Drosophila melanogaster: one gene and its partners. The protein of the gene in region 2 binds, or shares a complex with, the protein of the main gene of each other region. Each region holds a gene or a part of one and is shown on either strand. Other genes may lie near its edges.

Region 1 (11,787 bases), on a different chromosome or scaffold from region 2:
TCGAAACCCTATACCAGATATTTTTACTATCGTATTACTGATGTACTGTCAACTGTATTCAAAGACACAAGCGAACATGTGAGACACATTTTGGGGGAACATTAGCAAGAACTTTGCAAATTGAATTTTAAACCAACAATATTTGCCCGGCAAATATGTTAAAATTAAGCGTAAACCTAGCGAGTAAGCATAAGAATGCAATAAGAACGGTTTTTAAAAAGACTATTATACAACCTATATATATATACACCAATGAATATTAAATAATAATTCAGAACGGAATACTAAGCTTTTAATGCAATAATCAAATACCACATATATACTATATACATACACTTACATATAAATATATATTTTAATAATTACTTGCGGGGCAACCGAATTGAGTTAAGAGCCCTGAATTCGTATACTGTTATAGCAGAGGATGAGAGTAAAGGATATTTAGAAGAATATTTAGTAACGGCCCTCGTCCTTTCGCCCAATATAAAGGGGTTGGCGGGGGTTCGACTAATTGATTTTCCCACCTTATATAGGAATATAAACAAAAATTACTGCAGTGCCATTTTAAATAGCTTCCGATAAGAATAAATATATACATAAATATATAAAGCAAGACGTAAATTGGTACATAAAGACCTAATACAGTTGGTTATTAGTTTTTGGAGGCACCTAAAAAAGTCCAGACTTCTTTTTTATGGGTAAACCGTACACCATATCGAGGGATTACAGCATATACAGTATACCCAACATGGAAGATTGTACAGTTTTACTGTAGAAAAGAGTTGGAACAAATATTTTGTAGCCGATCCTTTAACTTTGGCCACTGTTCATGCAATATAAATACATACAAATATAAATATATATACCTATTTATGTACTAAATAATTATTATATATTGTTATGAGCAAGAGTTCAAATTGCATTATGGTTATAAAGAATACAGACAGATACACAACTATAAAAGCAAATGGAACAAAGTTGAACATATTTTGAGTGCATGAACTCTTTTTGGGAACTTTTTGAGGCTTTTTTTTTTTGTAAGTGAAGCGAACAAACTTCAATCGAATATCCAATGATACTAATAACAATAACAAAAGTATATAACTCATGTAGCTAGGTATATTATCGAAAATTAATAAATCCCAAAAATATCTATATCAAAATAACATGAATTTTAATGAACCCCGTTACATAAACAGCAAACATAAAGGCTAAAAATAAAATGATAAACACCACTTCATTCATACTTCGTACATCTAAAGAGCTTACCAATGGAAGCAGTCAAGCAGAGCAAACTAAAAACGATAATAACTAAAAAAGTAATTGTTAATATTTATGCGCTTGCGACGGCACACAAACACAAGCAAATAAACTATGTACAATGAAAATATATTTACTAACAAATGTTATTTTTAACCAAAGCCATAGAGGTCAGATCTTGGGCTCCTGCCCGACCAACTGATCTGGTCCCTCATGTAATCTATAAATCCAAATATTTAAATTGAAACCATGCATAACAAGTATTATATCAGACATATGAGTATTTTAAATATGCCTAAGACACATTGTATACAATGACTGCTAAACCGACAAAACAAATCGTTCTCGTGAACGACAAATAATACGAATAACTCTGGTAAATGAACCCTCGCCAGAGGGCTGACAATATATGTACATTAAGTTAAACATTCTGCTGGCTAAGAAGGGAATTAACAATACACAAACTGACATATACATGTATGGGAATCTAAAAACACACAATAAAAGAAATAACAGATAATAAAGGACACACAGACCAAAAACTCATGTTTTTTACAATTATTCAGCGTGTATTTTGTGCTACTTTAAAGGACATACTGGCTAAACACACTTTCGAGTGCCGTACAAAAAACTCAACGTACAAAAACGATTACCGACTAGCTTAAAATTCTGTTCAACAAATACGAGTACACGGATTGCAAATACAACGGCGGACCGACTACTTGTTCAGTCTTCTCTTGGCAAAGATCTGGTAGATGCCCAGGCCAGCGGATAAGGTGCCAATAGCACCCACCTGCAGGGTGGACAGCTTGCCGCCCCACAAATATCCTTTCGGCAGCGTGCTGACGGCGTGCACAAAGTCGAGTGAGATCCGAACGATGGACACCATCTCCAGGCGGTGCTTGGTCAACGTTTTCACATCCAATCTATGGATTTGGAAGGTTTGTTAGCTTTTATTGGATGTTTTCGGCTGACGACCACTTACTCGTTTATATTATTCGTTCGGTTCAGCTTTTCCTGATTCAGTGAAAAATTCCGCATTGTCCTAGAAGATGCAATTTAATTTGAAAATTCAAAGCTGACGATTCGAATAATTCTTCTGTACCTCATGAGGTTCAGGTACACCGAAAGCACCCAGAATATGGAGTTGACATTGTCCCAGTTATCCGCATTCTTGACATCCACAATCTTGTGCTCGGCCAGCCAGCACACCTTCTCGATGGGATAGTAGAGCAAATCCACAATGTTGGCCGTCACTCCCAGCACTTGCATGACGCGATCGGGCTCATTCTCGCCCAAGCCATACTCCAAAGCATATTGGATCATGGGTATGTCGTCGATGAGACGCAGTGTGGCTCTCGCACCTGAGATCCTTGAGCTGGCGGTGGCGTATCGCTTGGCTAGTTCCGGATTCCGCTTGGCATGGTAGCCAGCCACCAGTTTGGCACTGTAGCACAATGCCTTCATCACCTGAAATAGGTATTTAATTTCATATATGTAATAATTGTTCTGCGCAATTCGTTAAGCCGTGTGTTTGCTCTATCACGAGAGTTGGCATCGCTGTTTACCTTTGCCTCTACCTGACCCCAATCGCCAGTCAGCCCTGCAATTTGTGGAATTGCTTGGTTGTCACAAACAGATAAAATACTATCAGCGATAAAAAGAATACAACGAATGCCACAATCATCTCGTGTGATGGCCGCCAGTGGAGTGCTCCTGGTCGTCCGTCCTGGCCGGAATGAGTTGTGGGTGGTTTCATTGTTTACCCATTAATGGTTCAGTTTGCTTGCTTTGCCATCAATGAATTAGTTATGCAATTCGGAGGAATACTAATGTCGCTATACGACTAATTTATGTAAATATCCTATAGTATTTCCAAAGTTCGTGACCACCCCATTCGCTGTTTACAGCCACATAATATATTATATTATATTTTCAAATGGTTATCAAGTATAACAAATTATTTGTTCTAATTAATAAATCTAAAATACTTTGAACAATATTTTATCGTATTCAAGGTTCGATTTTTCTATTAAAATAGAGATACACTATACAAGATTCCCTCTTTGTCTGCACTGTATACACCCCTTGTAGGGGTATATAAACTCGCGATGGTGGAAATGTGTGGATCGCGTGTCTCCTGATGGGCGGCAGTCCAAACAAACCTTTCGTTCATAACGAATTATCCGCTTTATCTGGTAGCGGCTTAAAGGTTTGCCGGCTATAGTATTGAGCATTATCTTGACTCGATCGCCGCCGAACTGCGACTGATAAGCGAAAAGCGAAATACAAAATCCATTGCGAATCAGAAAGAAGTAAGGCAAGGTCCAAACTGCTGTGGCTTCCTTGTTCGAGACCCAAAGACCAATGCCAACATCGATGCAGCAACAACATGGAAACCTGTTGGTTCAGTTTCGATTTCAAGCGAGCCCCTCAATGGACCAGTCCAAAAAGGAAATAGAAACCAGTCAAAATGCCACGATGCATTTTTTTAAATTTGCGCATACGAATTGGGAAAAACACTCGGTTCAAACGTAAACAAACAGGTGTGTTTTCAATTAATTGGAAATTTACTCGGCTGTGCGGCTCTTCTATGTTACCTTATCTCGCCCGCCATAGGAATCGATAATATCACAGAACTCGTTCACAAACTTTGTCGTGGTGCCCATAATGGCTCGTTTTTTGAAGACCAGGTACTGTTTTATATCACGTAAAAACTCGAACTGAGATACCGCAGCGAAAATACAAGAAATTGTCAAGAGCGCTCGGGAATCCAACAACACAAACAGCTGACTTTCTTCAGTGGTGACAATAGCCAAATAAACTAGCTAAGAATAGAGAATATAATAGAGCTAAAAATAAAAAGCTAGTTAATATAAATAAAATATAATATAAATATAAGTTAAAAATGTAAAAATAAATTTAAAATTAAAATATTTCAATATCAATATTGTTATAAAAGAGAAGCCAAATAGCCATCACTGACGAAAACAATTTTGAAAGAACAGCTGTTGCAGCCGCTTAAAATCGATGAATGCACATCGATAGGACAACCCATCTCCGCTGTCAGCACTATAATCGAACGCATATCGGACGCACTGCAGGACGGGATCAGGATACGGAACAAAGCGAGGCTAACACGCAACGATGAGCCTGCCCAGCGCCAGCAACCACGCACATGCTGCATCGCCCGTCTACAGCAACAGCAATAACAACAAGTCGAGCGCGAGCAGCAAAAAGACCTCCTCCAAAAACGATTTGCTACGCTGCGCCGTGGGACTCCTGCTGAAGCAGAAAAACTACGTGGTAAGTGAATAATCTTCAAATATACAATTCCTCAGAGTGTTCAAATATTCAAACCCGTAGAGCAACGAACGATTTCGGCGGTCGGATTTTTTGCTGCTGCAAAACAAACAGCAGTTTGCTGTCAACAAAATGCTGGATACGGATTTGCACGGTGGCAATAGCTTCACCTTTTCAAATGTCCAGGTTATCACCAACAACCAGCACACTGTGGACCAGCAATTTGGTCGGTTTTCGCAGTTCGTGGAGGCCCAGGCCGAACCGCTGCGTCTGGAAATGAAGCGCTTTTATGGACCCATGCTGTGCCACTTCTATCTGGATCTGCTCAAGGCTCGCGAACCGCGTGGCGCTGTGGAGTTGTTGCGCAAATATGCTCACTTGGTGGCCCCCGTGGATATGTACGATGCACCACCACCTACCAAGATCAACGGATGCTCCACTACGGCCAATGAGTCCACTTTTAACATACGCTTCGCAAAGGAAGCCCAGGACACTGGGGACACGGAACTGGACTACTTTATGCGCCTGGTGCAAACCCTGAGTGGCTACACACGGCTGGAGGCAGCAGAGTCCGATGACACAGTGGCCCATTTTCGATCTTCGAAATACGAACTACATACTACAGCCGTAGTTGTTAATAGGATATGCGCTTATCTCCAACGACGGGGCCACGTTTTAATTATGAACCTACTCTACACCTGGTTGCATGTCCATATAGTGGAGAATGAGCAGCGCGCCTTTAGTGAGGATCACCTGCTTGGCTTGACGGATGACCTGGAAGGTGAGGATGGAGAGGACGATGTTGTTTCCAAACCAGCAGTAACCCTTAATACCCGCGGAGACATAAGACCAAGCAAATCCCTCACTGAAAAGTCGAACCGAAAACGACCCGCTGAGGAGCCAAACATTATGCTAGAAACAGACATCAAACAGGAGGTAGAAACGGATGAATCTGCAGAGCTTAGTAAATTACAACTGAATATAGACGCCTGCTTGGACACCCTTAAATCGGCCACTGAACAGATACTCAAGTCTCAGGTGGAGTTGCCGCGATTTCTCAGAATCAGTGAACGTTCTCGGGGCCTCACCTCCGCCCATCTGGATCCCAGTGAGTGCCACATGTTAGCCGGGTTCGACAATTCTGCCGTACAGCTGTGGCAGTTAAACCAGAGCTACTGCCGCGGCAAGAGCTTCTACAGACGCTATCCGCAAAAGCGGTGTCCCTGGGAGCTGAACAATTGCGCGAATCAAGAGGAGGAGACGGATGAGGACAGCAGCGATGAGGATGTCAAGTGCTCTGAGGAGGAGAGACGGGAACGCAACAGGGCGCGACATTGCAAATATGCTGATAACTCCTAGTAAGTTCATCTTCCAGGTTTAGTATTGGTTTTATTTTTCAATTTTTAATCAACTAAAGTTTTTTTTTTCTAATTAGCAACGAATACGGCGGATTTCAGCTGCGAGGTCACACAAAAGGAGTCACCGATGTGCGCTTCTCCGCCCACTACCCACTCATGTATAGTGTGTCCAAAGACGCAACCATGCGGTGCTGGCGTGCCCACAACCTGCATTGCGCCGCCATATACAGAAGTCACAACTACCCAATTTGGTGCTTGGACGAAAGTCCAGTGGGCCAATACGTGGTAACGGGTTCCAAGGATTTGAGTGCGCGCCTCTGGTCGCTAGAGAAGGAACATGCGCTCATAATTTATGCCGGGCATACACAGGATGTTGAGGTTGGTTTAACCAAAAATGTCTTTGAACTTTTAGTTATATATATTTTTTTTTTCTGACAGTGCGTTGCGTTCCATCCGAATGGCAACTACATAGCCACAGGATCGGCAGATCACTCCGTTCGCCTGTGGTGTGCAACCAGCGGAAAATTGATGCGTGTCTTTGCCGACTGCCGTCAGGCGGTGACCCAGCTGGCGTTTAGCCCAGATGGAAAGATGTTGGCTGCCGCCGGAGAGGAAACGAAGGTGCGTATATTCGACTTGGCCGCCGGAGCACAGCTGGCTGAGCTCAAGGATCACTCGGCGAGCATTAGTTCTCTTTCCTGGAGCACGCACAATAGGCACCTGGCCACAGCGTGCAGCGATGGTACCTTGCGATTGTGGGACATCAAGAAACTATCGCCCATGAGGTTAGTTATATTTGTGGAATGGAAACGGAGCAATTTGTTAATATTGGTAATGATGATTTATTTTGGTTGCTCCACAGTGACAACAGTAGTGCTGGAAGCTCATCATCAGCTACAACGAATCGTGTGCTTACTGTCAATAGTTCCTGCCAGCGCTTGGTCGATGTTTTTTACGGGACCAGCAAGACGCTCTACTGCATCGGCACTTAAAGAAGACGGTTGAAAGTTCAGCCCGAATTTAGACTTTCTAGTGACGACTTATGTTTGAAAATAATTTATTTTGTAATAAGTTGTATATTATTGTTACTATCGTGTGAAACAATTCTTTATATAAATAATTCTTTTGATTTAACAATCCTGGTAGCTTTCTTGTGGAATAAAACGAGTTGGTTACAGTGTAATGCCTTTACCTGCATCGTCTACTGGTCACAGCTAAAGAATGTCTTTCAAAACGAAGTCATGGCATAAGTAATGAGTGGCCAATTTCCACAAAAGTTGAAAAATGTGTAACTATTAAAAATAAGACGAGCATTCGAATCGAATTTCAATTGTTGAAGTGATTTTTTTTAATATATTAACATTTTACCCAATACCTAAAAATGTGCAAAACTAAATAAATCTAAAGGTAATATAGAATTTTTTGGTTGAATTTAATTAGCGATGCATTAAGAGACATTTTACTGTTCTTCAATAATTTAGGTAGTTTCATATAGGTTTAGGATTGTGTAAATACATTTATATACAGCTTGGAACCTCTATGATTTTGGACATACGCACAGCCCTTTTGAACAAAGAACATTGAACTTAATTTTTAAATAATGTTGGAGTGATCAGCCTTCTGATCGTAAGTTACATGCAATCAATGAATTGAACAACTATAATCAAATATCATAACTTATGTAAATGAGCTTGTCTACGACCCAGCGGGATGCAACAAAAGCTTTATCTTTATCCGGTTGGCTTAAATATAGTGACTTATACAGCGTAATAAAAGAGGGCAGAACATGAATAAATAATAAATAGCATGCATATGCTACGCATGCCGACAGCAGCAGTCTGATTCCACAGCGCACTGGGAAGTAGAAGGTCTAGTATCACAATGTCACTTTATTCAGACCTGAAAGTCTTTGCCAATAAAGTTGGAAGGTAATCCCACCGTGAATGCCTAATAGATCGAGGTTGCTGCTACTGCTGCTGCTTAAGTTGTCGCTGAAGAAGTTGAGTATAAGATTGTAGCTATAATGAGTAAGCGCATCTATCGTTTGAGACGTCCGCGCATAAACTGCAAGGTCTTCGCCATTAGAGGTGCCTTCTTCGATCGCGCTGGTCCAGCCCCTTTTCAATAAAAATTATAGGTAAATTTAATTCTTAACCACAATCATTACAATACTTACCCACTTGGGCCGTGTCCCTGGCAGCGGCCAGCACACGTAGTCGGGCATCGCCCACCTTGGCTGCATTTGGAGTCACGCTGGACAAGGCGGCCACTCGGGCGGCTGGAGTGGCAATTAGCTTGCCCTTGGTGCCATATTGCTCTTGCTTGCGCTGCACACTACGCGGCGGCTTCACCATTGAGTCCACAAAGGCCAATTGCGTCTTGCGCACAGGCGCCTCGCTTATCTTTTGCGATGCCTTGATGCTCTCGGCCAGAATGCTAAGTTTGCGATCCTTTTCCTCTTGGCAGCGCTAGAACGAAATTTTTGTGTCAGCTTAGTTTAGTTTGCATTAATTTAGGGTCTTTGCGTCCCTACCAAAAACATTTCGCGCCACGTTTCCATCTCTTCACGCCGCTGACTGCGACAGTGACGTTGGACATGCTGTTGCCATAGGACATCACTGTCATCCATTAAATAAGGATTGTACTCCTCAAAGTTAAGCAGCTGCTGGGGGGTAGCTCGCTCCAAAACGGGACGTAGGACCTCAAACGGAACGCCACCCGTATACTCCAATGCTGAAAAACAATTAAGATGGTTATTTACATTCGATATGACCATTAGTAAGATCTTACCATCAATATTCTTTTGCAGCACGCGGGTGCAGAGATCAAAAAGGGAAGGGACCTGCAGGATTTGACCAGTTCTCACACCCGAATAGATCTTGGTGCTACAAAGTATAAAAAGTTGATATACTTTGTGCATCACATTATAATATCCTAGCTCACCGCATAGTTTTGGAAGAGATGCCCTGCGCTAGAGCTTCTGACTCATTAAAGTATCGTGATGCTTGCGCCTTGTGTGAGCCACCCTGGTTAAAGACGACGTCCATAACTGTCTGATTTAATGGCATGGGCTTGTAGTTATTGGATATGGTGGGAAGTTCTAGTGCAATGTTTGGATCCAAGGGCTCCAGCTTAGCTGTGGATGCCAACAGTTCGGGTTTCTAAAGAATAAACATATGTTACCACAACTTATAAAAATGAATTTCTACTAATTACTTTGGAGGTCGGTCGACTGCTAGTTGAGAGTGCCTCTTTAGATGACCCAGCAGTCGTAGGTGCTGATAGAGCTGACGAGGAAGGGGCTGCAGTTGGCTTGGCGACAAACTTGCTCTTGCTGTTGCTGCTGCTCTTCTTGCTACTTATGGGTATGTTTAGCAGACCAAGAACATCGTCAAAATTTGCGCCCATGCTGGAGTCAAAACCATCAGCGGAATCTTCCTCAGATTTCGATTTAACTTTTGGTATCTTTGCTTTTTGGGACTCCTCCTCGTGGCGTGGGGGACTATGGGAGCGCTTTGATGACTTGGAGGACGATGATTTGTGTTTGCTCGACTTGTCTTTGACTTCCTTTAATTCACTGTGAGAAGTTTTGTCCTGAAAAAAAAATGCATAAGAACAATAACCACTTTTGATCAAGAGGAAAGCATACCTTTTCGTGCTTGCTTTTGGTGTGTTCGCTCTTGTGGCTCTCGGATTTGCTGCTCTTGTGACTGCTGCTGGATTTGCTGGAATCCTTTGACTTGTGCTCGCCATTTGACTTCTTTTCTTTGTGCTCCTTAGCTTCCTTCTGACCCTCCCGATCTTTATCTCTATCCTTGGATTTATCGTGGCGAGAGCTCTTGTGCTTCTTATCCGAGTCAGACCTACTCTTGGAGTGAGATCGGCTGCTGCTGCTACGCTCATGCTTGGTGCTCTTGGCATGCTTTGACTTGTGCTTGCTGGTGTTCAAGTCCTCGCCGCTGGATGAGTTGCCGCCCTTGTTCTCCTGGTCGGGATCCTCGTCGCTGGACTTGGTCTTGCCCGAGTCCTCTTCGTTATGTATGGCTGTAGGCGTAGATGCGATCGAAGGGTCCTCCTTCGCCACCATTGCCTTCCACTTGGTTACCAGCGTCTTGGCCGCCACGCCAACTTCCCCGCTGATCTTGCGCAGGGCATTCACCGTCTTGCCAATTCCCGTTTCCTGCAGGTGCTCGAATTTGATCGGCAGGTTGAACAGCTTGGTGATGCAGTGCAGCAGCTGCTCGACGGGAGAGCAGGTAGCGAAAGAGGTGATTAAGAAAGATTAGCAAAAGACCGTGTGAGTGAAAGGTCAGCGGAAAAGAAGAGCGACTTAAAGTCGAGAAAAGTGACCTTGGCGGAGGTACATATGTTTGCGAATTTCACAAGGTTAAGTAAGGGAAAGCCAGCCAGGTCAGGTACATAGGGGTGATTAAATGGTTAGGAAAATGGGGGACTTGAATGATAGGAAGGCAGTAAGCAGTGGATCAAAAGGGATGCGATGGCGGTGCCAATGAGGGTAATAGCTCACCCGTTGTTCGTCCTCGCCGTGCTTCTCAATGCTGCGCTGGTAGTGGCGCACCACGTCCAGCAGATTGCTGGTGGAGGCCATCGCGTCGTCTCAAAGTATTCCACGCAAAATGAAATGAAAAAAATGGCACGCAGGCAGACTTTGTCGTCTCTTCCCGTTTTCTTTTTCTCACTTTCAGTTTACTGATTTTTTTTTAGGGAATCCAGGTAAACACACACGCACCCAAGGGCAAACACACGCACACGCACAAGTGCACACACACACGCGGAAAAGCCTCTGGTCGCGAGGCTCTAAGTTATTTTCAATAGCATTACGGGCCTTTATTATAATACATTCGATTTTTGCTTTTGCCAGGCCAGCAGCGTTGGAAACTAAATGAGATTTGCTTTTGACGGCGTGGCGCTTGTCAACACTGGCCAAACAGCTGTCGGCCAGAGTTGCTCTACGTCACAGTAGGCTTGTACAAACATTTAGTGAATTCAATCGTGATAATACAAATAATTAACATGTCCAAATCATCGATACACACATTAAATAAAATCGAATTGTAAATTACATTTGACTACCAGCAAATACTTTGATCGTGGTCTCGTGTCGTGTGGCTACCCTGGTCACAGTAGTTATCGGATATCGATTTTCCTTGCAACCACTGTGGCGTCTATTTGGTTTTGTGTTTGTGTTTATTGTTTGGCGCCGTTATTGGTTTATTACTGACTGTTACTGAGTGCCCACGATGTCCGACGACGACTGCGATATATTCAGTGCTGCTCGCAAGCGGATTCCCGAAATAGGTTAGCTTTAAACTGCAGAAATCCAAGTTTTTCCACATACCTTCGCTTTTGTCGTCTTTATCAGCTTTGCCCAAGAATCCTTACAATCTTGGCAATGATTCCTTCTCCAAGGAGGTGGACTACGATTTCATTGAAGACCTCCCCAAGAAATCAACTAAAACTGGCAAACGAAAGAACCCTGCAGCGACGCGGAAAAATCCACCCAAAAGTCAGGATGATGCTTCGCCACCAAAACAGGCAGAACATAAGGCTGTGGAGCCAGAAGAGGATATGAGAACAGAGCGCTCCCTATCACCGGTATCCCTGTTGATATTGGAGATGGAAAAGAAAAATGGCCAGCAATCGGATGTGGAGAAGCACGCCAAAGAAAATGACGTTGGTCCTGTGGCCAGACGCACACGGTCATCGTTAAATAGGTCAGAAATGGCGCCACCACCTGTTTCACCGACTGTGGAGGTGCCCACACAGACGAAACCAAAGAAGCGCGGCCAAAAAAAGAGAACATCTCTAACAACCACAACCAGCAACTCTGCTTCGATGGAGGTCT
Region 2 (9,989 bases):
GCTCCCTCTCGCGCTCCCTAAGGCGTTCTTTCTCGCGTTCTCTGATACGTTCCTTCTCACGCTCTCTCTCGCGCTCCTCCCGCTCCCTGAGACGCTCCTTCTCACGCTCCCGTTCGCGCTCCTTTTCCCGATCCCGATCCCTCTCCCGCTCACGATCTCGTTCTCGCTCCCTTTCTCTTAGGAGTTCACGATCGCGTCCAGAATCCCGCTCCTTGTCACGATTGGACGATTCTCTGGCGTCCCTCAACTTGGCCTGCGCCTGCACCTGCGCCTGTACCGGCACCTCCACGCAGTCGGAACCTGGAAATAGGGAACACCGGTTAGAACTGTCTAATCATCACAGCTGGCGAATCGTTTCAACCACATCTCCGCTTTCCCACTCACAATCTGCATCAGCAGCGGGATACCTGAAAAAAAGGAGAAACATGGAGAAACGCAACGGTGGTTTTAGTACGTTCGGAAATGGTAAAGTGCAGCACCAAGACAATTGCCGGGCAATGGGCGGTCCGTCAATCAGAATATCGCTTTTCCGCCGGATCCCCCGCCTACGGCAATCGCCCTTGAGCCTGGCCTGCACTTTGTGTGTGAAATATAGGGCAAACACTTACTATCCGAGTCCGATTCCTCTAGGGAGATGACCTCGTTCGCGCGCTCGCGCTCCTTTTGCTTGTGGTGCTTGTGGCGGTGCTCCTTGTGCTTCTTGTGCTTGTGGTGTCTGTGCCGCGACGAGGAGTCGTCGGTGAGATCCAGTGTGACATCCTCGTCCTCTGTGACGCGCCGCGGTCGCTCCGACGATCGCGAGCGATGACGGTTCTTCTTGTCCTTCTTGTGTTTCTTTCCCGACGACGAGGAACCCATATTTATTATTATTTTCACAACAAAATACAGAAAATTTCACAAGAAAAAGACGCCGGTGTGACCGCAGTTCGGGAAGCGGAAATATACCAGGTGTGCCACGGTAAAATTAAATGCCAATCACAGTGATGCGCGCACAAAGCCACCGAAATTGTTTAAGATATTAAAACTGAATGTAATTATTAAATTATCACGCAATGTAGTACTTCGGAACTTTTTATTTGTTAAAAGGACCTTTTTATTTAGAATTCGTTTTGTTAAAATTACCTTTTTGAATGACTAAACTTACACCGCCTACTCTTCTTCTTATTTTTTGTTTTGCCATTCACCACGAACTTAATAACAACTTAACACGCGGAGATCTCCACATAAACAATGGAAATTAAAGTACGTAAACAAATTATTTGCGACCTAAAACTTATTTCATTTTGATCCCCGTAGAAGTCCAAGAAATCAAAGAACGACAAGAAGTCCAAGGCGCCCAAGGAGTCGTCCGTTTCGCTCAAACTGAACGCTTTGCATCGCAAGCAAAAGGAAGTCGCCCGCGTGCTCACTTTAAAACAAGAAATATTACTGAAATCGGGTGTATCCTATCTGGAATATTATGAGATTCTGGCAGAAATCGAACGACTCAACGGCCTAAAGGAGTCATTTATGCGCCGCGCTGATAAGCTGAAGCAACAGGACAAATAGTTGATAAGTTGGTTTGGTTTAGAAACTATATAAGAGTAAAGAAATCTGTAGCAGTTATATTTCGGAATGTTTTGTACATACATACATGTAATCTTTTTTGTAATTAACTTTTATTTACTTAAAAGCTTTCAATAACATGATGAATAAAGTAGAAAGTTATATATATAGTCAAAGCTGATCATAACTAAATGCACGTTGAAAATTAGTCAACTCAATCGAAGTGATAAAGATTTCATACGGATTATACTGTTAGGTATACATTTTGATTACTTTTGTTTTGCTTAATTAATTTGGCACTCCTTTGTGTGTGAAGATCAAGCTGCCTTAAAAAGTTTTAGTTTAATTGAAGGCACTTAGAAAATAAGAACTATAATTATTTGGCATACTGAGGAACTGTTTGGTAGTCATACATTAAATCAATTGATTTCTACTTGAGCTGGATTTGGCTCCCCTCGGTCTTCGCAAAAGCCCGCCACATTCGTTGGAATTCCGCCTGAAACGTGGCTGTGAGTTTGTCGTCAGCTGTGATAATGCAGTTCTCCCAATTGCCTCCCAGTCCAAGAGCCGTCCAGTTTACGGAGCCGCTGATCACGATGCTATAGCACGGACGCATAAACTTGAGCTTCCTCAGCAGACGAATCTCCTCGACGCGCTCGAAGCCGTCGATTATGCAGAATTTGTTGTGCATCAAGTTCGTGGTAATGGGGACGCGAACTGGAACTCCCAATTGTGCCAGCATACTGATCTGAGAACCTTTGGAGTAGACCATCTCCCCGTCGCTGATGATCCGGATAATCACGCCGCGCTGCAGGGCCCGCTTTATTGAATCCGCCAAAAAAAGCGAGGTGAAGGTGTATATGGCCAGGTCAATGGAGTATACAGCCCGATCGATCTGCTCTACGATCTTGGCCACATTCCGCAGCGAACAATGCGTGTTGCAGCAGGGCGACACTTGTGGTTTCTGGGATCCCATGCTGCTGTTGCGCATATGCACCGCCGCACAGATCTCGCCCAGTTCATTGAAGATGATCACTTCGTGCACGCGGCTTGCCTTCTCTCGCTTGCTGCGCGAGCACTGCACCAGCTTCCAAATCACCTCTGAGGCCAGGACAGTGCTGACGGCAATGCTTATTGTGGACACAATGGGATAGTCTCGAATTTGTTTCATAATTATTTGGGTAATCAACATTTTTGAATTTAGCTCGTTTCTCTAGCGCGCTTTAAATAATAATCTTGGGGTGACCATTATAAAATATAAGTAAAATATATTATCGTTAGTAGCTACCGGTCACACTGTTGCTCAGTAGCGTTGCCGTATCGCAGCCATGCGCTTGCCCATTCGAATCAAACAATCAATTTCGGGTCAATTTAAGCATTTTACCACCTAAATGGATGATCCATCCGCCACGCTCTTGCCCGAACACTCGGAAGATTTGCGGCTGGCTCGCGATGCGGAGCTGAAGAAGGTGCTCAAGCTGAAGCTAGTGCTGGACGAGCTAAGACGCCTGGATGTGGGCCCAAATCCGAGTGATGAAATCAAAAGAGCCCTCAAATTGGTTTCCATTGGAAGTTATGCGCGACTCGGCGAGATGGAGGGAGCTGGTCAGGAGCAGGTGCTTGGTAGGCGCGTTACAAGTTTATTCCAAAAGCAGTGAATAACCATTGGAAATCTAACAGGTCTACCGAGCGGCAGCAGTTTTCCGCCCTTGAATTACACGGATCGCAAGACGGTGCGTACCAAATTGTCCGCTCAATTACGCACAACTCTGCAACCCATTGCCGAATTGTGCGACAGGATACGCGAGGAGTTCCCGGACGCCTTTGGCCAGGAGGCGGACTTAAGCTGCGACCAAAAGGAGATTCTGCGCCTGGAGGAGGAGCATCGCAGCGGTCTGGAGAAATTGGTTGCGCTTCTCACTCGTAAGTGCACGCTTCTCAAGGAGACCGCCGAATTGAAATTGGGGCCGCAGTTGGCAAACGAACTAAAATTGCAACAGGCGCAGGCGCAACTTGTTCAAACAAAAGCAGAACTACTGCGCGGATTTTTCGTCCACGAGGCCGCCTCTCGCACCGAACATAGCGTCAAGGCACATAAGGAGGTGGAGGCGCACCTGGACGAGCTGCTCGCCGCCAAGAAGTAGATTTAAGCAAACTAGTATTATGTAAATTAGATTTTTAAATACATTATAATTGTGATTTAAACAGGGTTGTTCGTTTAGGTCTTTTCGCTCTAGAATGGCAACACTGTTTTGCACTGCAGTATTTGCAGACGGTCACTCTAGGGATAAACAATTTGTAAACAAAAGAAGCTTTTAAGTTTGCCGGAATAAAACAGATATGACCGAAACGAATCCCAGTGAAATATCTCCTCCGAGCGAAGAGCCACCGGCAGAGGACGAATCCACTGACCACTCTCCAGCGGAGGCAGTGCTGAGCAATAATTCCTCGAGTGTCTGCAATGTTGTGGAGCCGGATGATGAGCACGAAGTTAATTCCGTGGATCGGGAGGACACCGCCAGTTTGTTCAGCACTACTACGACCACCACCAGAAGCAAATCGCCAAATACACGAAAATTGAACCGCCTGTGTCGGCGGATCAAGGCACCCAAAATGGTTCAGCCCTTGTACAAATATAGGTGTGATTTTTCCAGGCAGAACATAAGTCATAATGTTTATATCCCGGATGCATTGCAGCTCCCATGTCCGCGAGGACCACAACCATCAGATCTTCGGAGTGCAGTTCAATCCGTTCCTGGACAGAGGCCAGCCGCAGGTGTTCGCCACCGTTGGCAAGGATCGGGTTTCCATTTATGAGTGCGAGAGGAGCACCGGACAGGAGTCCTGCGAAGGCATTCGACTGCTGCAAGTCTACGCAGACCCAGATGTAAGTACTCATCATATGCTATTACTTACATACATCATCGTTACGCCCTCGTTAGACCGATGAAAGTTTCTACACATGCGCTTGGTCCTACGACTCTGTGACCGGCGATCCTGTGCTTGCCGCGGCTGGTTACCGCGGCGTCATTCGCATATTCAATCCGGTTAAGCACCAGTGCAGCAAAAACTACATTGGTCACGGGCACGCCATTAACGAGCTGAAGTTTCATCCGACTAGACCGCAGTTACTTCTGTCCGGCAGCAAGGATCACTCCCTGCGCCTTTGGAACATTCAGTCGGACGTGTGTGTGGCGGTTTTCGGCGGCGTAGAAGGACACCGCGACGAAGTGTTGTCTGTGGACTTTGATTTGCGCGGTGATCGCATCATGTCCAGTGGAATGGATCACTCACTGAAGCTCTGGCGACTGGATAAGCCCGATATAAAAGAGGCCATCGAGCTGAGCTCTGGTTTTAGTCCCAACAAGAATACGGGTCCGTTTCCCACGATCAAGGAGCACTTTCCGGACTTCTCGACAAGGGATATACATCGAAATTATGTGGATTGCGTTCAGTGGTTCGGCGACTTTGTCTTTTCGAAATCCTGCGAGAACTCAATTGTTTGCTGGAAGCCGGGCAAACTTTCAGAATCGTGGCATGAGATTAAGCCACAGGAGTCGGCCACCACGGTGCTGCATCACTTTGACTACAAGATGTGCGAGATCTGGTTCGTACGCTTCGCCTTCAACGCCTGGCAAAAGATTCTGGCCTTGGGCAATCAACTGGGCACAACATTTGTCTGGGAATTGGACTGCAATGATCCCAATTTAACAAAGTGTAGCCAGCTGGTTCATCCCAAAAGCAACTCCACCATCCGACAGACTTCCTTCTCCAAAGACGGTTCCATTTTAGTTTGCGTGTGCGACGACAGCACCGTGTGGCGATGGGATCGCGTCAATTAGGATGAGTGTTTCTAGGCTAAAAGAATTTTCCTTATCCTTCTAAATCCGATACCATATTTATGTAACCATAGTTATTTTCAGTGTAATGTTTACCTTCAATATTAAGTATGTTATTATGCGTAGCATTTATATACAATACTCATTGTATTGACAATTTATGTTAAATTATGTTAAATTTTTTAACATTAACCAAGATATTTATTCTATTCTATTACTTTTTTAATGATCAAATAGCTTCGCAAATATTATCATCTTATGTTGTGTGAATGGCGTGGGCTCTATCTTTAATGTTTATATTTTAACTAACTAACTTGTACACAATAAAAACTGTGAACACTAAAGATTAAAACCAATATTTTTTTAAAGGGTTCTTCAAAAATAACGGTTTTTATCTCAAATGTATCTGGTATTTTCAGCCGTTCTTTGAACGGTCACTCGAATCAGCTGCATTCATTTGTTTATATAGCAATTCGCAAACAGTTGGATTTTCCTGTTTAGTTGTTATTCCCATTACTAAAATGCTTACCGACAGAGTTCTGGCCACCAAGGAGGCGCTAGTGGTGGCTCTGGGCGACAACTGGGAGCGTTACCGGGCCAACATGAAGAATTGGTTTCGGAGCCGTTGGACTAAGGAGGAATTCGATGCGGAGTCGCGGAAAATCCTAACACCTGACAAACTGCACCTGCACAATCAGTTCCTGCTCGCCCTGCTCAACAAGATCGACGCCTTTGCTCCCCTGGAGAATCCTCCGGCCGTCCAGACCAGCAGCAGTAGTGGCAACCGAAGCAAACGGCGCAAAAGAAGTTCCCGCACCTTCGCCGAACGCCTTAATTTTGAGCTCAGCGACGTCCTGGACTTTGTAGCCGAGGACAACATGCAAATCATTCGTCCGCCAACCACGATCGGTATTCCGTCGGACCAGCAACAGCAACAGCTTCAGTCGCAGCGGTACTGCGCGCAGGAACTTTTCCTGCCCGACGCGGGATTCATTATGGGACGATTTCTGATCGGTGCCTGGGAAATCGGACTTGTCTCCGTGGACGACAATGTCGCCGAGTACGTTGCCATGGCCGTGCAAGTTCTGCTCAAGGATCTACTATCGGCAATCATCAAGAAACGAAAGCACTACAAGACCAGCGGCGAGGGAAACTTTTACTACGATGTAGGTGCTCCGTTGCGTGATCCTTCGCTGCGCAACACCGTCACCCGGCAGAAGGTCGACGACACGCCGCTGGAACTGGACAAGGAACTGAATACGGCCAACTTTATGCGGCGACAGAACGACGATGTGACCTTCCTCTCCGCCTGCGAAGAAGTGTAAGCTCCTGAATAATAATGAGATTTTCATGTGAAACACAAACTTAGGTTTTGTTTCTTTCAGCCAACCCACCGAACGCACAGTAATCACCCTCAAGGACTGCCAACTGGCCTTACGGGATCGCAACCTGATAGGCTCGCATGCCGTCTACTCTATAAACATGGAACGACTCAATATGATGATGCATTAGCTTATAAGTTCTAATTATTTTATTATATCAGCTTCTGTAAAAATATATACATTATACGCTAGTGTACCATTAAGTGTTTGGTTCAGCAAAAATTCCGTGGAGGCGGTTTGAATGGCAAGGCACCTGGTAGAAATTGATCCGCCTTGAATGCTTCGATTTCCTGCTCGTTGAGATCCTCCATGCGACTGTAAACTGAGGACTGGATTTCGTTGGTCGGTTGAGCTTGCTGCTGCTGCTGCTGCATCATTTGCTGTTGCTGTTGCATTTGAAATTGTTGTTGCTGCTGCTGCATTTGTTGCTGTTGCATCTGCTGCTGCTGATGCATTTGTTGCTGTTGCATCTGTTGCTGCTGCTGCATCTGTTGCTGCTGCTGCATCTGTTGTTGATTAGGGAATGCAGATGCTGCTGCTTGAGCAAATAATCCGGAGGCAGCTGCCTGCTGCTGCTGTTGTAGTTGCTGAGAAGCCTGAGTAAACATTCCGCCCATATTTTGGCTTGCGGCTTGGCCAAAGATTCCCGTCGACTGTGGTTGCTGCTGCTGCTGTTGGAAACCACCGAAAGGATTAGGATTCACTGGCTGAGCTTGCACCTGAACCTGCGCCTGGGCGAAAATGTTGCCCCCTTGGAAAGCTTGTGCAGCAGGCTGCAGCTGTTGCTGCTGTGGCTGTCCAAAGACACTTTGTGCACCTGTTGCCGCAGCTCCTACACCAAAAATGCTATTCCTTGCATTGGCATTGCTAATCGTTCCGCCGAAAATGCTATTGGTGTTGCTGGCTTGGCTTGTGGCATTCCCAAATATATTTCCCGCACTCAGCGTGGGCTTTCCAAAAATGGATGCAGATGTATTGGCGGCAGCCGGAGCTGCTGCAGCGAAGGGATTACTGGACTGCTGAGGGGCAGCCGACACAGTGCCGCCCTCCGGCGTCTCGTGGATCTTGATCATCATTTCCAGGACCTGCGGCGACATCTGAAGCATGGTCTTCATCTTGTTGTTAGCCTCTAGGACCTCACGGTTAAACTGTTGGCTGAACTGTTCGAATTGGTTTTGTCGTTTGGCCTCGTAACACATGAACCGCACCTCCTCGAAGGATTGGTCCTGAATAAAGTTGGGGAAATTCGCTTTGTCCTTAAAGGGTCCGTAGGCGGACAAAGGCCACATCTTGCCATTGAGGCTGGATTCCATGTCGGCTTTGAGATATTGCCTAAAATAATTAAGTTATTAGTTCATCTGCATAGTTTTAATATCAATGTACTCACTTAACATCGAAATGCTCGTTGTTGCACTTTGCGCCATAGCGGCAGGAGCCTTGTTGAAAGAACCGGCAGACAACCATATTTAAATTTGATTTTAATTTTTGCCTATTTCCTATATTTATTATTTCAAAACTGCTTCAACTTTTGTACTTTTGTTTATAATTGTCTTACTTTGCGTATTGAGTATTCTTTGAGTATTTTATGGCTCACTGAGAAAAATATACCGTGCCTATGCGCGCAATTTCGTGAATTCGTAACTTAAGTTCGCTGAATGATTAAGATAATTTTGTAAGCAAACATATTTAAGATGAAAACTGGTTTTTGAAAATATAGTTCCTTGTAAATTATACATTAAGTGCGAATATATCTGAAAAATATTGGTTTCTTGCACAGATGCTATTCATTTTTCATATGTTCAAAGAAATTCAGAAACTTGCTTCTGCATAATCGAATCAGATAATTTTAAAGTGAATTCCGGAGTCCTTTGGTATATCTCGTGCCGCCGAATACGGTCCCACTGATTGTGAAATCCGTGATAACGAATTTTAACACCAGAATTTCTAGGATTCCATCAGAATGCAAAAAGTGCTGGGACGCATCCAGGCGCAGGTCCTCCGCTCCCGGGCGACGAATGCATTAGCCAATGTGGTTAGACACGAGGCCACCTCCTCCAGGACAGCGGCTAAACCAGCCGCCACATCCAAAGGTAAGCGGATCCTCCAAGATGCACAGTTACCGCTTACCAAAATCGTATTCGTTCGTAGAATTCCGGGAGAGACAGGTGCGATTCAACATAAAGAACGAACAGACCGAGGGTAGACCACTTTACCTGGATGCCCAGGCCACCACTCCAATGGACCCACGTGTATTGGACGCTATGCTCCCCTATCTGACCAATTTCTACGGAAATCTGGTTCGTACGCTTCGCCTTCAACGCCTGGCAAAAGATTCTGGCCTTGGGCAATCAACTGGGCACAACATTTGTCTGGGAATTGGACTGCAATGATCCCAATTTAACAAAGTGTAGCCAGCTGGTTCATCCCAAAAGCAACTCCACCATCCGACAGACTTCCTTCTCCAAAGACGGTTCCATTTTAGTTTGCGTGTGCGACGACAGCACCGTGTGGCGATGGGATCGCGTCAATTAGGATGAGTGTTTCTAGGCTAAAAGAATTTTCCTTATCCTTCTAAATCCGATACCATATTTATGTAACCATAGTTATTTTCAGTGTAATGTTTACCTTCAATATTAAGTATGTTCTTATGCGTAGCATTTATATACAATACTCATTGTATTGACAATTTATGTTAAATTATGTTAAATTTTTTAACATTAACCAAGATATTTATTCTATTCTATTACTTTTTTAATGATCAAATAGCTTCGCAAATATTATCATCTTATGTTGTGTGAATGGCGTGGGCTCTATCTTTAATGTTTATATTTTAACTAACTAACTTGTACACAATAAAAACTGTGAACACTAAAGATTAAAACCAATATTTTTTTAAAGGGTTCTTCAAAAATAACGGTTTTTATCTCAAATGTATCTGGTATTTTCAGCCGTTCTTTGAACGGTCACTCGAATCAGCTGCATTCATTTGTTTATATAGCAATTCGCAAACAGTTGGATTTTCCTGTTTAGTTGTTATTCCCAATACTAAAATGCTTACCGACAGAGTTCTGGCCACCAAGGAGGCGCTAGTGGTGGCTCTGGGCGACAACTGGGAGCGTTACCGGGCCAACATGAAGAATTGGTTTCGGAGCCGTTGGACTAAGGAGGAATTCGATGCGGAGTCGCGGAAAATCCTAACACCTGACAAACTGCACCTGCACAA
Region 3 (10,191 bases), on a different chromosome or scaffold from region 2:
AACGCTAGTCTTCGCCAGCAAGTCGCCACGATGGAAGAAGAGTCGAGTGTGCTGCAGCAAAAGTACCAAAACATCAAGGAACTTAACTCTGAGCAACGCAAGAAGTTTAATTCTCTAAAGGACCGCTTCATTGATGTACACCGCAAGTTGAAGAACCTCAAGGAGTGCAAGTGCGTGCTGCTGGAAACGCAGCACGAGTACGCCGCATCCGTTTCCAAATGGCAGGTGGAGATTATCAAAGCTTCGCAACTGTTGTGCGCAAAGATGGCATCCCTGCAGGCCGAGAATGAAAAACTGAAGCTGAACAATGGAAAGTCAGACAATAATCCTCAAACAATTGACACTGGAATTGACCGCAAGCGCTTGCTGCAAAGAGTTCAGGAAATGGATCGGCTAGCCAAAATAGTGAAGCAGAAGCAAAAGAACCAAAGGAGCAATTTGAATGTGGAGTACCTACTTAAGAAGATAACCGCTCTCGAAGAGCTTGCAGTCATTATAAAGCAGCAGCATAGAATTGACAAGGAACAATTGATAAGTGTAACGAAGGAGCAGGAAAACACCAAAAATCACGCCAGGAACCTTAATGTAAGCTTATTCCAGACCAAGCTTGATCAAATGCAAAATCTGGTCAAAGTCATTGCAAAGGAGCGTGATAATCAGCAGAGGAAGTTGCAGGAGTTGGAAGCCATCTGCATAGAACTGCGCCAACACAACGAGGATTTGCTTACGCGATACCACCTCAAGGAGCAAGAGCATGGAGAGTTGCTAACGGAGATGCGGGAACTGAACGAGGCGCTCAAAGGACGCGGTGATGCCATTTCACGCCTTCAAGAACAGCACGAAGCGGAGGTCAAGCGACAACGAGACTTGGAGGCTCAACTATCTAATAGTCAGCAGGCGGCGCAGGAGAAGTTACAGAAGATCAAACAACTCCAGAGCCGTGTTGAGGAATTGGAGCAGGCGAATGCTGATGCCCAGAGTGATGTTCTGTCGACATCCACAATATCACGAGCCGAAGAACTAAGCCGCCTGCGTGAACTGGACGAAGGCTACGAGGAGAAGTACCATAAGCTCAGAGCCATAGCTGCCAAGCTGAAAAAGAAACTGCAGGAGCAGACGCAGCAGCTGAATGAAATGGAACAGAGCGGTGCCCTAAAGGAGGAGTTGGAGGCAATCAAGTTGGCACAGGCCCAACTGCAACAGGATTTAAATGCAGCTCGAGCTGAAAACCAGAAGCTAAAGTCCAAGGAGAAAGTAAAGCACTCCAGTGTCCTTAATTTGGAAATTGAAGCAGCTGAAAAATCCCTGAGCGAAGTTAGTGCGAAGCTGACAGCTAAGTCTAGCGAACTAGAAGCCGTTAAGGAATCACTGGCCAGCAAGGAAAACACCATCGTCCAGCTGCGCAAGGAGATCGCTATCCTAGAGGAGGCCAAAAACGGCGAAGCGGCCCACTCCCTAGAACTTAAGGAGCAGATTGATCGCATGCAGGTCCAGGTCAAAGACGCAGTTCACAGCAAGCAACAGGCGCTCACTCAGAACAAGGATTTGGAACATGGCGTTGAACAGGCCAAGCTCGAGGCGGAGCAATTGCGTCTCCAGCTGTCGGAGAGCGCCCAACAATACGAATCGAAGCTAAACACGGCCACCCAACAACTACTAAGCCAAACCCAGGAGCTGGAAATGCACCTGGCAGAGCAAAAGCGATTGGAGACGGCGCTTCGAAATGCGGAACGAGCTCTGGAGGACCTGCGAGTAGAGTACACCGAATACAAGTTGAAGGCACAGTCTGTGCTGCGCAAAAACCAAAATAAGGGCTCCAACCGCGAACAGGAGTTGGAAGAAGAGTTGGTTGCGCTTCGAGAGAGTGAACGCAATCTGCGCGCCAGCAACGATGGAAGAGCTGCCCGCCTGGCCCAGTTGGATAGTCAAATAGAGGAATTGCGACAGGATAACACTGATCTGCAAAAGCGTAGCAAAGAGCTCGTCTCTCTAGTTGACGAACTGCGTCAGCAAAACGACCTGCTGTCGCTAGAAAACCAACGCCAGTTGCAATTCCAACACGACCTGATGCAGCAGCATCGCCAGCAAGTTGATGAGCTGGACGCCGGGCACCAGTTGCAATTAACGCAGGTGCAGGAGCAACTGGAGGAAGCGCAAAAGATGCAAGCAAACGTCTCTCAGCATACCACTGCATCCGCCGCGAGCGTGGACACCAGTCCAGAGCAGGCAAAGATCGATTACTTGCTTATGGACCACGAAACAGGCTTGGATGGCCACGCTGGAGACGTCTCTCTGGCCCAACTGGCTGCTCAGCGAAAGATATCTACTGCCTCGAGACGTTCCCACGACTTCATGCCGCTTGACGAGCTGCTCAACACATCAATGAACCAAATAACCAGCGATACCGTGACTACCATCTCTAATTTCGGACGCAGCGTTTCGCAGCAGGAGGACGAGGAAGCGGAAATGGCCGCACGGGGAGACTTTTCCGTCCAAAGTGCCCAGCTTCAGGCCACAAAAGAACGCCTAAGCATCCAGGAAAGTCGTGTCAAGCACTTGACTGCCCTGTTGGCCGAAAACGAACAGGATTTGGCTAAACTGACCCAAATGAACGACATGCTCAAGGAAGAATTGCGCCGCCAAGAGCGCTCCGAGGAACGTGAACAACACATGCACAACTCCGAGTACTTGAAGAACGTCTTCTTAAAGGTGAGATCAGGAACGCAATAACTATATCCACGGGCTTAATCTATTTACTTTATAAACTTGCAGTTCCTTACGTTAAACAATGTCGATGAGCGGCAGCGCTTGGTTCCCGTGCTAAATACCATTCTCCGCCTGAGTCGCAACGAAATGGAAATGCTGAACTGTGTGGCCAAGGGACAGAAAGGTAACTACTAGCAGAAAAATTTAAATTTTAGTATGGTTTCTTGTATTAAGATATTGCTTTTAGTTTCTGCAGATGGTAGCAGTCGCAGCTGGACGGGATTCCTCACTGCGTGGAGTGGAGGAGGCAGTCCCAATAATAACAACTAGCGAACATCATAGGATATATAATATATAAATATTCGTCTTGTTGGATGCGGATAGTCGTCAGTCGTTGGGCAGTTGCATAGCATTCATTCTGTAAATCTTGTACAATTTCCCTTTTATATATAATGTATTTTAAAATTGCTCGTTGCTGTTTGGCACATCGTACTTTGTACACTCTTGTAATTTGTCCACACCCGTTGTGTTGAGTGCCCTATACAGCACCACCGGCAATATGCGCGTTGTAGATTGAAGAAAGCCTTTGCATATATTTAAAAACAATGTTTTTCAATGGTTTGTTTAATTTGAAATTCTATTACCATATAGATCAGACTATAAATCAGATGCATTGTCTATAAATTAGTATTCCATTATTTGTATTGTATGTACTATATATAAATAGGATCGGTATTTATGCTTACATTTACACTTTTAAACGGTGTATATTGTTTACACACAATATAAAATATCATTAACATAAATCTTACATAAATTTCATTAAAACCAAAAGTGAGTAATCAAGTTAAATAAAAATTCTGTCTTGGCGGAATACATATGCAGGTGAACGATTTGAATCGAAATGCGCCAAAAGATTAAAGATCACAAGTCGAATAACTACTTAAATACTAATCAGTATTGTGAGCCCGGATCGGATCCTATGCCAATCTATTGCCAAACGCCCGCATAGTTGCCCACCAAAGTCGCCGGCAGTGGTCCTCCTGCAGCGAAGAGGCGCATCCTAGTGCTGTCATAGCAGTGGGTGTAGATGGCGGGCACATACTTCACCTGCTGGAAGCCATCCATCTCATCCTCCGGATACTGAAATGTACAAAACAGTTAGGTGAATTGGTGTATTTTGTGGAACTGTAACCTCTTCACTTACCACAATTCCTTTGCTGCACTTGAGTGCGACTGTGCGCGAGGCATTCACACTGCTCTCCAAATACTTTCCGGCTCGAATGTCGTAGAATAGGAGCATGCCCAGACCCGTGCCAACGGTGAGCAGGTTACCTTCGAACGAAGTCGCCCGTATACCGCAGCCACTGTATCGAGATGTGATCTTCTTAATGGTTTGAAGGGTTCGGGCGTCCAAAAGGATGGTATAGGAACGGCATCCAACGGCATAAAGGCCGTCGCTGTGGTAGGCGATGCTCACGTTGTCCTGGCAGTTTGGCAGCTTTCGTGAGAGTGTCTGCTTGAAGGTCTCCGCATTGAAGATGTGAATGTATCCGTTCAGCGAGAGGGCGGCGATCTCCTTAAACTCCTTGTTGAAGCAAAGAGATCGAATCTGTAAAAGATCTTATTGATAAAATGGTTCTTTGATTTGATTTGCATTCATAAGCTCACCCTCTGGGCAGTGCGAACTTCCTTGACACTAAGGGGGTGGATGGTTGCGAATGTGGGACACGCTTCCTCGCCGCCATCTGGAAACTCCATGTGATCCTCGTTGATGCGCCACAGAGCCATGCGCGAGTCCTTCGATCCGGACACAAGAAACTGGTCATCCAGCCAGCACATGCCCATTATAAGGTCGCGGTGCCCACCCTCGCCCACACAGACGGGATCCAGCGTAGGCAGTCGGTAAACAGCAATATCGGAGGAGTTGCGCGCACCGGTGGCTAGGAAGGATCGGCTGGGCGACAGCTCGATGGCATGCAGGCCACCCTGGACCTCAGGATGGTTTGCCCGGCTATTTGAGAGCGTTGGGATGGCGTCCACCCGGCGCATGTTCACATCGTAGACGAGCAGTTTATTGCACTTGGTCCCGAAAACCACTTGTCGACTGCTCAGCCACTTGGAGCAGAAGACCTTGTTGATGTAGCCCAGACTAATCTGCGTCTCGCGCAGCATGTCGTGGGTTAGCACATAGCGGCTGGTGTACTCCACATTGACACTGCGACGCTGCAGAGGATGGTGGGACAAAGTTCACGTTAGCAATGCAAGTGGTGCGACTTCACAACATATACCCACATCTCGGAGTCCACTCTCCCGGCTGCGCAGGTAGTCGCACAGGTTGTAGGATGTGTTCAGGACCTCCTCCTGCTGTTGGGGCGTCTCCTCGTCGCTGCCGGAATCCTCGTAAGTAACAAAGTCGTCTGGTTTGTCCGGTTTTCGTCTACGCTCCTGTCGCATCGCCCGCTGCTTGGCCCTGCGCTCCTCCAGCCGCGAGGATACGTGGCAGGACGGATAGGTGCCCACGACGCTGTCGCGGATGGTTCTCACCATCCCGTTGAACATCTTAAGGTAATTGTTTAATCCGATTTGTTGTCTTTTGCTTTACGGGTTATCATCCGCAAACAAAAATGGTGGTGCGTAGACTACAGTGGAACTACTGGTTCGGAACTGAAGTTTGCTGAACCGATTGTTTTGCATTTAATGCAGAGATACAAATTAAGGGAAATAAAAATACAAGTGTTGACATTTTTCTATTTGGCACAATACTCGGCCGCTCTGGTTACCTGAATATATATATATATATAATAATATATATATAATATACAGTATTTATATAAAGTCGGATGTCGCACAAATGCGTTACACTATCGTTCATCCCTAACGATAGGCCATCGCTTTCACAAAGGGTTTTATCTATTCTCACGAAATCAGCTGTTGCGATTGAAGTGGTGACTTTGTTTGTAAATAAAATGAACTACAACGCCAAGCGAGTAATGCGACAGAACTCGGTTTGCGTGGGTTCCAACGACATGGCAGCGTCGCCGATAATGATTGGACCTGCCCCGCCCTCGGCGCCCAGCACGCCGCAACTGCAGACCACCGAGGACATCAAGCCACTGCTTGTGCAGCGCCAAGTGATTCTGCTGCAAAGTGGAAGCATACCGACGAATCCCTCGCCACAGCAGATCAACCTAGCTGGACATAATGTAGCCGGTGGTGCCAGCGGGAGCAACGTTGCCAACGTTCTCATTCCGGATGATGCACCTGTCTCACTGCTCACAGAGATTGCGGATATCATGCGAAGCTTCGGCGACAGCGATCAGCCCAGGACGGGAAGTGTCAAGCTGGTGGAGCAGATCCTGCAGCAGCAGCTGCGCGGCATCTTCAATGAGGCTTCGCTGGTGGCCATGCGGCGGAAACAGAATCCCTGCCCGTCGCAGGCGGACTTTGAGTTCCTGATGCGCAACCATCCGGTGAAGATAGCTCGGATGCGAAAGCACCTCAAGGATATGCGCATACTCAAAAGGTTCCTTAGTATCCGCACGGGAAGGCCGCAGGACTTCATGGACGACTTGGAGCAGCAGGAGGAGGACGAGGAGCTGGCCATCGATGTGTACGAGCTACACGACGAGGACCGAATGCGAAGATTATTCCGCGCAGATCGGATATCGCAGATCCTTACGGGCCAGCAATACCTGGAGTTCAATGAGGCGCGCAAGACGTCATTCTACTGCCGCCATGGGGAGAAGATCAAGAACAAGTTCCGCCGCTTTCTGGACCTGCCCGCGGACCTTCGCATCCCAACGCCGACAATGAACATTTTGGCCTATCTGGCGCATGAGACCATTGCCGCCATTGTCGACTATTCGATCCTGACGCGCCTGAACTCGGACAACCGTGCGACCGAGCCCTACAGCCGAGTGACCTCCGCCGGAGGCAGTCCGGCTATGATGCACGTCTGTCCGGAGGTCACACAGGGTCGCGGCATGGAGGTGGTCAAGCCAATCAGTGTACCGGAGATCCACGAGGCCATGCGCCGTTTCCGGCAAATGAGCAGCCGTAAGATTGGGCGGTATCGCAACTCTTGCGACATCGATTTCCGGCGCAGTTTTCTAGCCATTTAAGTTTTAATGATCTTAATATCCTCGCCTATTTTTATTTGCGTCAATTATTGATTTTATTCACAAAAAATAGACTGTACAATTAATTCATTTAAAGTAATTCAATCCCCAACAATTAACGCGCTCTACATTTTAATTATACAAATTATAAAATAAAGCAATTTTGGCTCGTTAAAAAAGTTTTTTCCTGAGAGGTCAAGAACAACTAGGCATATTCATTAATTCAATTTGCCTGTGGCACATATCCTGGCCTTTGAGGCTGCGACTAAAAGACAGAAAAACGCACTCCAATTACGGACGGGTGAATCTGCCTCGCATGGAGCCGATAAATTGAAGCGGTAAACGAAGTTGAAACTGGCACCGACAGATAAATAAAAGCGCAATAAAGAAATTTGCCGACAGGCGCACTCGCACGTGTGCCACACAGACGGAGCGAAGGAGAAGGACCAGCAAGGATGCCGCAGGATTGCAGGAGAGACTGCAGCATAAGGCATTAAGAGAAGCAACTCGCGAACGCACTTAATAATCAACTTCCTGTTGTGCATATAAATGTGTGTGACACGCATAGCAACGAAGGGTAAAGGGGTTAAAATTCATTCCGCAGTTATGGGTGGCGGGTTTCATTCTGTCTTTTGCCGTGAATTGAAAAGGATTAAGAATTATTGCTCAATGTCACTTGAACTTTTAATATATGTACATATGTGCAATTGTGGTCATGATTGTATAGCAAAGGCAAAATCCAAATCTTTTCCAAAAACCTTTTTAAAATAACTTTTAAAAACCATTTATTTGAAATTTTTCTTATTCCTATCACCCGCTTGTTTATCTGATAACATGCGGTCCGAAATTTGACTTAAAATCGATGCACCTTTAAAGGTATCCTCTTGTTATTTTCTTCGGTGGGATATCCTAGTTTAATCGGATCTTAATGTTGATTGCTCTGTGCTGCAGATGTAATTCCAACGGCCCATTATTCTTAATCGATTGCTCATACGCCTAACGAGCGCCGGAACGCAGTCGATAGCTCCTCGATGGCCAGTTAATGAAAACAAGCTGGCTGTGACGAAATTAAGCCAACAACTTGTTTCCATTCCAGCATCGTCCTTGTGATTTTTTTCCTTGACCCCGCGCACTGCTCCCCACACTTCTCCACACTCACTGTTAATGTTTCCAAATTTGCATTTCATGCGGCTCTTCGCTTCGTCCCCAACAGGACCATCATCATCAGGTCCGTGGAGCTCGTCGTCGCGTCGTCATTTCTTCGTATTGTCAAGTCACGTAGCCAATTTCCAGGCCGCGTAAAGTCAATATGCCCCAATCCCTTGTAGCCGAGTTGCCTTAAACTTCTCTTAAAGGGAAGGCCCTCATATTATACGTATGTATGTAAATATGCCTCTATACCTTAATTTCTTGAATAATTTAGAATACAGAATTAATTATCCTTCGAAAGATACTGTTTTGAAAGATACTGTTTTCTAAACTTTTCTAACAATGATAGTTAAATAGAATTACACTATGTAAACAGAAAATCATAGCATGAATATTGAAAATTTTTATTCAAAATTGACTTATGTTTAAGAACATGTTTGCTGAGCGGCTAATTAAGTAAAGCTTTTAATTTCTCTAACTTGCCACAAAGAGTGTGCAGTTGAGAAACATCAATTGCATGTCTGGCTTAGCAATTGGATATTTTTGAAAATCCGTTCGGCTAAACTTTTTTAATTACTTTCGCTTTCTCGAAAAGTTGCTGACGTCAGCCGGAGGCAATTTCCCCCGATGCCCAGCCCCCGAGACCATTGACAGTTGTCTAGGCATAAACCATTAGAAGCTAGCAAAAAAATAAAAGGAAACCAAAACAAAAACAGTCCCTCGGAGGAGCATATTACACGGCCTTTTAATTTGAAACCGTCTTGGAATGTGTTGACACAAGTACTCAGGCTAAATACGCTGGAGCCGGTCTTATTCAAAATGAATGAGATTAAACGCCTCCAACGGAAAGATCCCGCCAACGCCATCGCCATTGCTCCGTCCATCCACCTATCCGTCCTATGAACGGAGCCCAAGGGCATTCTCATCTCATTGTCATTGGTGGCACAGCATCCATGGTCATGCCACTCCATCCCCGAGTGCGATTGGCAGTGCCACCGAGTGCGTTTGGGTGCCCAGGTGGGAGGCAGGTGGGTGACAGGCGGGTCGAGGTGAGCGCACAAAGAAAACTGTCTTTATTTAATTAGTTAAGTGGCAGGAGCAATTATATATTATGTGATCAAAATACTTGACCTACTTACTCAACAACGATTTTAACTTCCTAAACGCAGCTATTTACATCTTGAGTTAGGAACGCATGGATGTGTGATGAAAACAAGTTATGCGTATATGAATTGAGTGTTCTCATTGAAAGTCGCAAGTTCAGCAGTATGATGAAGATGTAAGCACCTTGTCTGGAATTCAGCAATTTAATTCAGCCTAAAGTGAAATTTATGCAAATTATTTTATCTAATTTTATATGTATTTAATTAATTGATGTTATTAACAATTATTAATTAAGAAAGAATTAAAGCACGCATTTTGTTATAGATTCTCAATTATATTTAGATATTAATATCACAGAACTTACATTTATTTAATATGTTTTACTTATAAGTTTTGACTTCACTATAAAAATTCAAATTTTCGTTTCTAAAAACTGGGAACAATTCTTGCAGGTTCAAGCGGTTAACAGTGAACGGAAATGGGAATAGTCATGCGCACTCAGCAGTGGGAACAGCATGCAACAGTTTGTCGTCCCCGAAAATCCCCTCATATTTACCATTTTGGGAATGGAAATGTATGAACTGAAACGTAATACCACCGAATCCTCCGTTGCAAAAGCGAAATTTGAAACGAACTATTCTCAGTCGAAGGATGTTGGTTACATCATAAGACACTGGATAAGATAAGACCGAAGGAATTGTTAGGGGTAAGGCTAGGACCTAAACAATGTTACTTTTGTAACACCAAAGATTACGAAGATGTTTTCTTTATAAATATGTGTTTAATTGCAAACATATCATCGTTAAACATATGTTTATAATAAATGCAGCTTGAAATAAATTTAAATATTTGCTATCCTTGCTTACATTAGTCGCCGCATTTCATTGTTTTTCACTAGGTTATCCGCAGAAAAACAAACAGCAGTATACAAAGAATGCATTTTATTGAAAATATAAATTTCGACAATTTGAATAACATGAGACTTCAGTTTACAAATCGATGTTGAGTAATATTTTAATGTAAATCGAAATGATTTTAACCAATTTATAAAATTATTTCAGATGAGGTTTGTTATCAATGTTAGTTGTTTGGAAATTCAATTCATCTGAAC

The links.
Region 1: Ada1-2 (region 2) and wda share a complex: the UniProt entries of both Drosophila melanogaster proteins name them as parts of the spt-Ada-Gcn5 acetyltransferase (SAGA) complex.
Region 3: Ada1-2 (region 2) and Spt3 share a complex: the UniProt entries of both Drosophila melanogaster proteins name them as parts of the spt-Ada-Gcn5 acetyltransferase (SAGA) complex.

What each region holds. Positions count from the first base shown.
Region 1 is NT_033777.3:23,250,620-23,262,406, reverse strand, and holds wda (will decrease acetylation), read left to right. Parts: upstream 1-4,319; 5' UTR 4,320-4,407; coding exon 4,408-4,566; intron 4,567-4,626; coding exon 4,627-5,921; intron 5,922-5,998; coding exon 5,999-6,299; intron 6,300-6,359; coding exon 6,360-6,706; intron 6,707-6,783; coding exon 6,784-6,913; 3' UTR 6,914-7,337; downstream 7,338-11,787. Other genes in the region: Pex11c (peroxin 11c), read right to left, coding at 1,979-2,186, 2,246-2,305, 2,366-2,730, 3,426-3,497; EloA (elongin A), read right to left, coding at 7,959-8,038, 8,098-8,389, 8,455-8,654, 8,712-8,806, 8,865-9,082, 9,138-9,515, 9,571-10,158, 10,450-10,530; Rad60, read left to right, coding at 11,183-11,240, 11,305-11,787. UniProt on the Drosophila melanogaster protein: Component of the transcription regulatory complex SAGA, a multiprotein complex that activates transcription by remodeling chromatin and mediating histone acetylation and deubiquitination. The SAGA complex predominantly acetylates histone H3.
Region 2 is NT_033779.5:11,987,088-11,997,076, forward strand, and holds Ada1-2 (transcriptional adaptor 1-2), read left to right. Parts: upstream 1-5,814; 5' UTR 5,815-5,905; coding exon 5,906-6,705; intron 6,706-6,769; coding exon 6,770-6,896; 3' UTR 6,897-6,967; downstream 6,968-9,989. Other genes in the region: CG6686 (uncharacterized protein), read right to left, coding at 1-300, 609-858; CG34163 (uncharacterized protein), read left to right, coding at 1,231-1,242, 1,297-1,548; zuc (zucchini), read right to left, coding at 1,976-2,737; dgt2 (dim gamma-tubulin 2), read left to right, coding at 2,937-3,168, 3,226-3,689; escl, read left to right, coding at 3,886-4,184, 4,243-4,432, 4,488-5,387; CG18789 (uncharacterized protein), read right to left, coding at 6,979-8,098, 8,154-8,230; Qtzl (quetzalcoatl), read left to right, coding at 8,727-8,856, 8,915-9,156; Ada1-1 (transcriptional adaptor 1-1), read left to right, coding at 9,817-9,989. UniProt on the Drosophila melanogaster protein: Component of the transcription regulatory complex SAGA, a multiprotein complex that activates transcription by remodeling chromatin and mediating histone acetylation and deubiquitination. The SAGA complex predominantly acetylates histone H3.
Region 3 is NT_033777.3:12,011,551-12,021,741, forward strand, and holds Spt3 (Spt3), read left to right. Parts: upstream 1-5,605; 5' UTR 5,606-5,675; coding exon 5,676-6,830; 3' UTR 6,831-7,000; downstream 7,001-10,191. Other genes in the region: GCC185 (GRIP and coiled-coil domain containing 185 kDa), read left to right, coding at 1-2,709, 2,773-2,890, 2,954-3,036; DCAF12 (DDB1 and CUL4 associated factor 12), read right to left, coding at 3,697-3,849, 3,914-4,318, 4,378-4,932, 5,002-5,268. UniProt on the Drosophila melanogaster protein: Component of the transcription regulatory complex SAGA, a multiprotein complex that activates transcription by remodeling chromatin and mediating histone acetylation and deubiquitination. The SAGA complex predominantly acetylates histone H3.